3 separate regions of the Mus musculus genome follow, and regions 1 and 2 are each reported to be linked to region 3. Evidence: microRNA targets listed by miRTarBase, many of them from high-throughput screens and not tested one by one. Region 3 holds a microRNA gene; each other region holds the end of a gene's coding sequence.

Region 1 (3,000 bases), not on the chromosome of region 3:
TATCCAGCTGAGAATTCAAATATCTTTCAGCGGCCTGGTTTTCTCCTTTAAAGTCTCTAACCGGAGAGAAGTTAGTTAGTTGTAATCCAACAGCTACTGTAGCTGAGATGGGGGAATGGGGAGAGAGAGGCAGGCAAGGCAGCTGACACTGACATTCCACAATCACTTAGAAACACACAGGAACAGAGGCAGTAACCCCTCACAAAGAAAGGGCAGTCGTTTAATTCTGAGCAGTTACAAGGTTGAGCCTCCCTTTACATCCACTATAGGATTTAATAGGGTCCGTGTGACATTTATTAAGGGATAGTGGCCTGCAAATGATGAGCTTGGATCAAGCCTGGACCTACTTGATGTCTCCCACTCAAGGCTTGTGTATGATACAGAGCTGTTCATTTGGAGGCCCCCAACCCTCCTAAAAAAAAAAAAAAAAAAAAAGTACTTTTTTTTGTTGTTGTTTGTTTTGTTTTTTTGAGACAGGGTTTCTCTGTATAGCCCTGGCTGTCATGGAAATCACTTTGTAGACCAGGCTGGCCTCGAACTCAGAAATCTGCCTGCTTCTGCCTCCCAAGTGAAAAATGTACTTCTCCACTGGAACTGGAACTAAAAGTCGCAGGGTTGCCATGAAGGGTAACCATGACACTCCCAAATAGCCTACATCCTCCAGGAGCCTCCAATCACTCCTCAGCTTCAGGTGCAGGCAGGCCTTGGGCTATAAACACAGCCACACCCACCACAGGCTACACACCTAGGGATGTGGGGCTTTCTGCATCCTAAAGGACTCATTTAAGACAGCAAACTAGTCCCTCGCTTACTGCGGCAGATCTTGGGGCTCTAGATCAAGAACAGTGTGAGGTGCATGGAGACCGGTTCCCTTGTGGAAGGACCAAGCATCCTCAGTCAGCAGAGGGCAAGAGGAGTATCATTTGGAGGTATGGTCCTACTCTGTGGGAACCTTTCATCCAATGATAAAAGGCACAGGTTGCTGGGGATGGCATGAGAACTAGGCATGGAGTGCCTGGCTATCCTGGGAATCCACTCATCTTTACCTCTACCTTGGCACTAAGCAGGACTGGGCTGAGGGCCAAGTTAGCACACTTGGGGGAAAGGGTATAGAAGAGGCTCTGTCTGGTACCCAAAAGTAGAACAAAGAATGATGTTCTGGAGATCTCGAGTCCAGGGTCTGGTACCATGACACCATCTCAGCCACTGGTGTCAGCAGCTTGCAGGCCTGAAAATGGCCCTCTCTGACCTGGGTGGCCATCGGGTGCCTCCGGTGCATGTCCTAAGGCCAAGGACTCTCCTCTAATGTTGAAAGCAGCAGATCATGTCCATGTGTCCCAAGGACGGCTGCTGCCCAAACTGAGGTAGAAACTTAAGACGTCTTTCCATAAGCGATCTACAGTCCTGGACCGCACATCCCACCAGTCGGACACAGGAAAGGTTCAACTCACCCTGAGAATGCAGCCCTGAATTCCACCCACATGTCCTAAGGGAACTCCCAGACCCCACGTATGTCCTGGTAGCCCAAGCAGGTGCTTCCAGAACCTGTGAGATCCAGGTAATTCAGCAATATCCACATCTGCACCTGTCCCAGGAGCTACCCCAGGAAGCTAGCACAGAAGGCAAAAGGAGACTGGGGGAGATTCAAACAGGGGATTAACTGAGATACAAACGGTGCAAAACCCTAGCACCACTGTGGCCCACGGGCTCTTCAACTCTGATGTGGGTTCTCTGTGTGGCAGGGCTGGACAAGAAGAGCTTCCTCAGATGGGACCAGTGTAACTGCCATCTTCAATGGTGATGGGCAGTGGGGAGGACAGAACAGGCCGACTGGTCCTGCCCTGGTGAGGGGACACGACCCACTGAAGGTATAGTAGACTCCATCCAGATTCAAAGGTGCTGGGACCTGAGACCCTCAGGTCATGAGAAACAGCCTGCCCAAACTAGCCAGTGACCTCCTAGAAGGTGCAGCAGGCCCTAAGTAGGGTAAGGGACAACTTCTGTTGTGTGGCTTGTCTCCAAAGACTCACAAAGATTCACCTGATGTCCATTGTGAGACATGCTGACGGGACACCAACATGGCCAAGAAGGTCCGTCACACACTGGACATTCACAGCGAGACAGCAACCTGGAGAACCACATGGGAACACAGACACTGTGACCTGAGGGATGTGTTAAGGCAGGAGATGGGAGTCAACAGTTCACTCCCTGTAGCTGCAGTTTCTTGGATACCAGGAGGTTGGGATGGGCAAGGGACAGGTGGCCCTATGAGCACCAGTCACATATTTCAGGCCTATCCCAAGGTCCCGACTCAGTCCACTGTTTCAAATTGGTGGCCTCTGGTCCCTCCCAGTTCCAAGGACAGGTGGGAAAGCTGCTGGCCCTGCTCAGATGGATGCAGAGCATTGAGGGATCCAGATGAGGTGTGGTCCAGGGAAGAGGGCATCTACCATCTTGTTTTATTAGTCGGGGACTGATCCTAAAGTAACCAGAAAGAACAAATGTCAAAATGGAGGATTCTACTGCTCACAGCCCAAGTACTGAATTGGACTAAGAGAAAAATTTAAAGTCTCAGTCAGTCCTCAGGGAGCAATGCCATCTAAATATAGACGTTTGGAGAAGTCTGGAGTCTTCTTCCAATAATCCTTTTCTCTCAACAACAACAAAACAACCCTATTTTTTCCCCTTACAACTGGTGTCAGAAAATAGCTTCTGGCTAGTCCATGACAAACATGGATGGGCAGGCTCTCAAGTCCCCTTGAAGAATCCGGACTTGGCATCCAAAGTTCAGAATATTGTCCCATCCATGAGGAACAGAAGCAGCTCAGAGCCCAGGCCACTGGTCTGGCTTCTCCCAGGGAGGGCCAAGGACAAAAGCTGGGGATATCAGTCTTGGTCCAGCCACCTAGAGGCTCTATGGCAAGACTGTGTCACTTTGCTTACTGTAAAAGAGGTTGGGGGGCAGCTAGAGAGATGGCTCAGCAGTTAAGAGCACTGACT
Region 2 (3,000 bases), not on the chromosome of region 3:
TTTGCAAATGAGCAATCACTTAACTTCAAAATCATTAAGGGTAAAAGTTATCTTGCACTTCTCGGCCTATGCTTGTCAGACGTAAGGACAAAAAAATTACATTTTAAAACCTATAATTCATTTGCATTTGGAAAGGAGACTGGTATCTGAATAAAATAACCATTTCTTTTACAGAAATGATCAAAATTGTAGAACGTCTGAAATTCAGAAGTATTTCTGGAGAAACAATGTTGAGACCTGCACATTAATTCCAGCCAATACTACCATGTATATTGTTTGATTCAAGTGAGTACAATTAGATCATTTCCTCACCATGGACAAAAAAAACAAAACAAAACACAAACTTCAGAATTTTATTTTAATCGGTCTCACACATGTCTGATGAAGGCCCTAACAGTTATCTGAGGTTGCACTCCTGAACCAATTCACTCTAAAATAAATTCAATGCTAATTTGAGCTACTAAACAGCTTTTTCAAGAGCTCCAAGGGACATTTCTGGAGAAGGCAAACAGAAGAGGGAGAGCTGCATCCTGACTGCAATACAATGCTGCAGTTTTCAAGACTAAGTAAGAACCAGTTCTGTTATCTATTCGTAGTGAAGGAAGCCACTAGCAAAGATATCCTTATTCATACAGGGCTACGAAAATTCCAGTGCATGTGTAAAACAGTGTGAAGATGTGCCCTGCTCTATGAGCGGGTAAGCCAGACTCTTCTGGGCAAAGAGGGGAGAAAGACATTAAACCCTAAAATCAAATTATCATCTTTTACCCAAAAAGTGAAATCAACCAATGATGATTCATGAAAATGGACAAGTTTTATTTTCTTTTTAAATATAAAAATAAAAATAGTGGCTCACTCATAGATAACTCTCACGACACCCATTAGAGAGAGATAATTTCAAAATATTGTTAGGATATGTCTCAATGACATATTATTCTTATATATAGCAGCTCAAATATTTTATCAGACTTGTCCATGGTAAAAAAAACACAGTAAAACCTTTTTTATCAACGATTTTAAGAGCCCATTGATAACTAATCCATTTTCCAAAGGTAAAATGTAATTTAAAATGTAGTAAAATGAGTAAGGATACATTTTAAAGAATTAAACCTCAATTGTTTGATGAAAAGTCTAATGTTCTTTATTTACTACCCATTACAAATGTTTACTGAATAAAGACGAATTTCATTATATGTAATTCTTTAAGTGGCAGTTCATCAACCCTCAGAATAAAATGTCATCCCTAAATCCAAGTGGCCCAGATCGTGAAGTTCACAGGCGAATTGACTCTCTGCTAGAATCAAGAAGCTTTTCATTCAGAACAAATTCTTTATGACATATGTAGGGCAATGTAGCAGTCATTGTAGATTCTACTGAATTACGGTAAAGTGCTGAGTGATTACCTGAATCTTTTTCATTTCCACTTATCTTCTCTTAAGTCAAAGGAGCCCTTTCTGCAGCATTAACAAATCTACAACAGGAAAAAAAACGGGGGGGGGGGGGGGGACCTGGGAGGAGGGAGGTGGAAGGGAGGGGAAGAGGAGAACAGAAGGAGGCGCTTTCATTAAGGGGACAGAAATCACTGTGCAATCTCTTGTGTTTAATAGGGTGACAAATAATTGAGATAAAGTAATTCATGCACGTTATCTTTAACAGATATACATAAACCTGAAGCAAGAAAGAAAGAACACTGTTACTGACCTCTGGTCCTATGGCAGTACACCGCATACTAAAATACCGTAATTATCTTAGATGCCTAGGGCTGGCTTGGCAAGCATCATGCCACTGACATGCTCTAGCCTCTTTGTAACTAAAAGTGGTCTGCAGTTCATGACTGAGAGCTCAATGTGAGTCGTTAGGCTGTGTGATAACGTCTGAGGTTAAACGGAAGCAGATTCGATACACCTAGTCACACCATCAGCACAAGCAGGACGACGCCGGAGACGACGCTGGAGCGGTATGAAAGGCAGTTCACTCTACAAAGGTCTTCCTTTACTGCACGCTAGCCTAAGATGACAGACCTAAATTTCAACTGGGTTAATGACTTGTAATAGATTTGTTTCCCAAATTTAGCATACAAAATTTTCTGTGGACTGAAGAAAGAAACCTCAGATGTGAAAAAATAAAGCAAAACCAAAACATAAAATTTTAAAAAGCTTGAGCTCGAACAGCTTACCGGCAACTCTAGAAAGCGACATGCTCTGAGAGTACGTTTGTGAAATGGACTCCGGAACGGAACGTAAGGAAACAGTGTTTTGAGTTGAAGTTGACCAACTGCTGCATAGAGAATATGCCAACACACAACAGTCCCAGTTTAAGCCGGTGCATAGAGAAGATAAAGCACTTATGGTAACTGCAAATGGTAAACAAGTCCATAAGGTTTATGACTTAGCATGGACCCAACGGTTCAGGGAACACTGTAGCAGAAATGGTTTGGGAGAAAAAGTGGAAACAGGCAAAACTTGAAGACAGAAGTGGGAGCCAGGGGAGGATGACTTCCAATTGTATAAAATTCACATACTAGTAAAATATAGACATCACTGAAAAACAGTTAACTCTGTCCCAAACACCCAACAGCAAACAAAATCAGAATGGCCTTTGGCAGACAATTTTAGAAATTTGAATATGACATGACATTTCTCAATAATTCACAACAATATATTATACGGTATATTTATATTAAACACTGGGAAACCAACCCTGCACATTTGATGCTTACAATGCTTTAGCCAATGGGAGCAATGATATCAAGCTAATGGATGCTGGTGTTATCACAACAGTGCTCATTACAACTGTTCCCACTCCGTGCTTTAACGGTGCTGAAGCACAATCAAATTATCATCTATGAAGTGAAACAAAGGTCTCTAGCTTTTCTGGGATGTTCCCTTTGTAATAGATTCTATGATTCACGATGACACGAGCAGCAAGACACTGCAATGTGGTATGATTTATGGGCTGTATCAAATTTTTAGCTATCTCCTTCTCGTCCAGCAAGTCACT
Region 3 (3,884 bases):
TTATCCTTGCTGACGGGTTGATGGGAAAGGTGGGATGTGAAGAACTCCAGGATGTGATACTGCAGGCTGCCATCAGAGGTGGGGGACTGAGCCAGAGGGGAGTGGACATCTTGTCAAGAAGCATGTGGGGGCAGGAACCTGTGACCTCAGGATGAGGCCATTATGTGTTAGGCCCCATTTCTATGAACCCCCCTCCCCTGAAGCCAACTGGGAGTGGAGATCTCTGACTAAGGAGAGATTCTGAGGTTGCATTCACCCTTAAGAGCTTGTTACATGATCACATCCTTGTCTTTAGCACTTAGTAAGCACAAGCATTTATGTGTGCTGGATGGTGTGTGTGTGTGTGTGTGTGTGTGTGTGTGTGTGTGTGTGCATATTGCAGAGTGGAACTGTGTACAGCCTCTGTGATTTTGACCTGACATGGAAGGTATATATCCCCAGATGCCACCCCTCCATCCCTAGGTAGGGCAACCTTCAGATCTGCTCTTCCAGGTCTCAGGTTGAGGGCCTGGCCTAGCCCTTCTCCTGCTTACTAAGGCATGGGAGCTGTGCTTCATCCCAGAACCCTGGGGACTTTTGGCCTCACAGGCTGAGTCCCACCTGGTTTCAGGGTCCCCAAAGGTCCACAGAGCAGGGCAGTGGCTGACAGCTGGTAGAAGAACAGAAGGAATTGTATTCTGATTCAAGGGTGCTTGGGGGAGTCAAGAGAAAAGGGAGTCAGAGATGGGAGGTGCACACGGAATGCCCCTCCCACCACTCCCCTACCTGGTACCCTCTGCTCCTACCACACTGCTTCCTCCTGCCCAGGGCACCTGCCTTTCACAGGGACTGCAGGTCCTGGGAAGCAACATGTTATTAAGCACCCAACCTCAAGAAAGGGCTGGGTTGGTGCCCAGACAGCTGGGAGCTGCAAGCCTAGGTCCTGCCACTTGATCTGCATCCATTGATTGATTCCCTTCCTTCTAGAGTAGGGAGGGCTAAGCAGAGATTATCCACCCGCAAGCAGGCTACAGGCACAACAAGGTACAGGGCCCAGCAGGGCCTTCTATTTGCTCTGCTCCGGGCCATGGTCTGCTGGGCTGAGGTGATATGCCACATCTCTCTCTTTGAGTGGTGGGGTTTAAGGGTTTTTCTGTTAGAGGAGGAATCATGGGGGGCACTGTAGAGGATGACCCATCTCTGACTTCAGCAGTGAGTGGGGAAACAGCTATGGGGATGGAGGCTGCAGGTATCAGGATGGGGCCATCCTGGGCTCAGCTGGGACAGAGGCACTCTGTGTGTGTAGGCCAAAGGTTTTAGGTGGAAATATTGAGGACCAGGCTGCACAACAGAGCACTGGCAAGAGAGAGGTGGGCACAGCCTTACTGGCCCCTCCCATGGTTTCTGCTCCTCTGACATCCTTCTCCATCTTAGTGGTCCCAATTGCCACCCCTCACCACATAGACAGAAGAACGAAGCTGAAACAGGAAGAAGTTAATTAAGGACACACACTCAGAAACAGAAACTCGCCCCACTCCACGGCAGGTTCTGGATAAATGGGACCCATGAGACTTTTGGCCAGCTACTATGAGCATACCCCATCCAATGGCCTCCCCTGCAGCCCCCTGGCTCTGCCTGGCCACCTCACCCAGCCAGCCCGGTGACCTGCGCTGTTCCAGTTGCCCCAGCACCGCCCCCGTCCCTCCCTCCCTCCTCGGACAAACACGGGAGTGAAGACACGGAGCCAGAGCCTGGGCACTGGCCTGAGGGCCCCGGGCAGGCTGGGTCAGGCTGCCCAGAAGCCCATGCATTGGCAGACCTGCTTGCTGAGGGTCAAAGATAGAGGAGCTGAGACCCAGCCCAACTGGAACCATAGGTGCTCAACATCAGAACAGCTAAGGCAGGCTCTGCAAAGCTCTCTACACTTCCAGGAAAGCACTGGAGTACATACCCATCGTAGGAACGTCTCTCCGTTCTACCCTACCAGCAGCTTCCTCCTTGCCAGCCCTGAAGGTGGGTGGGAGTGGAGCGGCAGTATTGTTCCCCACTGACCCCGCCCATCTCTCTCAGAGTTGGTTTCATTTTTCCAGATCTTTCCCTCCTGGGTTTTTGGGGGGCACTACCCTCCCCTGGCACTCACAGGTTTTATTTGGGGAAGGGGGTTGTTTGTTAATGGCAGGTTTTCCCCACTTTAGTCCCTTTTCTAAGCCTTGTCCCCAACCCCAAAGCCTCTCAAATTCCAAGACCCCTGCTTCTTGTGACACTTAGCATGGCACCCCATTGCAGCAAACCCATGGGCAGCAACTGCTCATTTACCTCCTCCCAAATCTGGCTGCTTGCACCCCACCCCCGGCCCCCCACTATTCTCCAGAGCAGACAGCAGCTTGTGGCTTCCTACCTTTCAGGGTCACACCCTCCTGCCACCTGCTGACAGCTCCAGCTCCTGCTCCTCCCTCACAGAGGCAGCATCCCTCTTGGTCATCATCCACAGTCACCCCAGGACTTTAGCAGAGTCCAGCATCCTGATGCTACCCACAGACATCTCTGACCTGACCTCCCCTGACACTTCAGGGACCCAATGCCTTGAAACCCTCCACCTTCTGAAGATAATGCAGAGTCATGCTACCCCGCCTCTGGTCCATTCTTCTAGAAGCTTCCTGTGCTCACGGGGGAGATGCAGAGTGGAAAGCCCACTTCCCTCACGGCCCCTAAAACACTCCAGCTGGCACGGCTTGGGGGAGTGTAGGGGCATTCGGAGTATAATCTCTCAGCACCGCAGATAAGGGAGAGGCACAGGCTACACTCCCCTCCCCAGCTGCTGGCTCCTAGAGCAGGCCTTTCTGTTGACTGGTAGGTTAGAAGTAAACCAGCCCTCTGTGCTCCTGGGTTTTCCAGCCCCAGAGGCTGAGAGTCTCCAGGACGTGACAGCCTGGAGCAAATGGCCCAGCTTTCTGGGGGACTACTCACTGCCCAGGCTCCAGGGGCATTTTCCCATTGCTTGCTCCTGTTCCCCAACAAACCTGTCTAGTCCCCGGGGGTCACACCCGAAGGAAGACATTTCAACTCCATCTCTGAAATTGGAAAAGCATCAAGCACAATCCCCTCCCCGCCCCCACCTCACTCCCAATACTTTTCCACCCTCCTGGATGCCTTCATGATTCCCGAGCCCCTGCCTCCGGTTCACCCAAATGGCAACATCACCAAGAAGAACCTCCATCACGAACAGGGACCCCCTAACTGGGGGGCATCGGCTGCTGGCACTTCTATGGACTCGATGGGAGGGGTCATCTCCGGGCAGGCAAGGGCTCCTGCCAGCTGCCTCTCCAGCATCAGGCCAGGCCCTGGGCGAACAAAGCCTGGGCGACACCTGCAGCTCCGACCGACCGCTGCCTCCTCTGCAACGGGGATGGTTCTGTACAGCTGGAGCCGGTAAGATAAGCCGGAGCTGCAGATGCAGGCGCCTGCTCTGGCGCCGCAGTGAGGAGGGGGCGCTGGTGCAGTGGGCGCGGCTGGTGCGGAGAGCTGAGTGCTGCGGCAGGCAGAGGGGGGCATTTGGAGGGGGGCTGCGGAAAGCGGGAGATGGAGGGAGAGGAGAGAGGGCGATGTGATTGGCGGGGAAGGGGCTTGCCGCAGTGGGCGCGGCGGCAGAAAAAGGAGGGAGAAAAGCGAGCGCCATGGCTGTGGCGGCGGGGGCGGGGTGAAAGGGGGGATGGGTTCAGTAGAGGAAGGGGGACTTACTGCGGAAAGGGGGCTGCGGCAGCCTGAGGGGTGCAGGGGGAGGGATGGGGTAGAGAGGAATATCTAGGATGGTGCAGCACAACTTTAGGGAGATGGGGATGGGATGGAGGTGGGAGCTGAGAGACATGAGTGGACATCAGGGCTGATGACCAAGCTCTTGATGGGAA

The links. The annotated mature microRNA mmu-miR-149-5p reads UCUGGCUCCGUGUCUUCACUCCC and lies in region 3 at 1,706-1,728, opposite strand. An mRNA with a match to its seed (bases 2 to 7 or 8) in the 3' UTR can be bound and repressed. Matches are read on the target gene's strand: a 7mer-m8 pairs with bases 2 to 8, a 7mer-A1 pairs with bases 2 to 7 and ends in A, and an 8mer does both.
Region 1: miRTarBase lists Gprc5c as a target of mmu-miR-149-5p. The part of its 3' UTR that is shown has no 7-base or 8-base seed match.
Region 2: the mRNA of Fem1c is a reported target of mmu-miR-149-5p. The part of its 3' UTR that is shown has no 7-base or 8-base seed match.

What each region holds. Positions count from the first base shown.
Region 1 is chr11:114,869,800-114,872,799 of GRCm38, reverse strand. It overlaps Gprc5c (G protein-coupled receptor, family C, group 5, member C), which reads right to left. Exons shown (of 5, transcript NM_001110337.1): 5 at 183-2,479. The coding sequence ends at 2,447. Among named protein-coding and RNA genes, the nearest start is that of Cd300a, 19 kb to the left of the region's middle.
Region 2 is chr18:46,502,242-46,505,241 of GRCm38, forward strand. It overlaps Fem1c (fem 1 homolog c), which reads right to left. Exons shown (of 3, transcript NM_173423.4): 3 at 2,365-3,000. The coding sequence ends at 2,839. Among named protein-coding and RNA genes, the nearest start is that of Fem1c, 22 kb to the right of the region's middle.
Region 3 is chr1:92,848,225-92,852,108 of GRCm38, reverse strand. Mir149 (microRNA 149) reads right to left here and starts at 1,731; the gene lies at 1,666-1,731. All of the region lies in intron 1 of Gpc1 (glypican 1), which reads right to left. Gm29480 (predicted gene 29480) reads left to right here and starts at 3,312. Exons shown (of 4, transcript NR_166170.1): 1 at 3,312-3,408.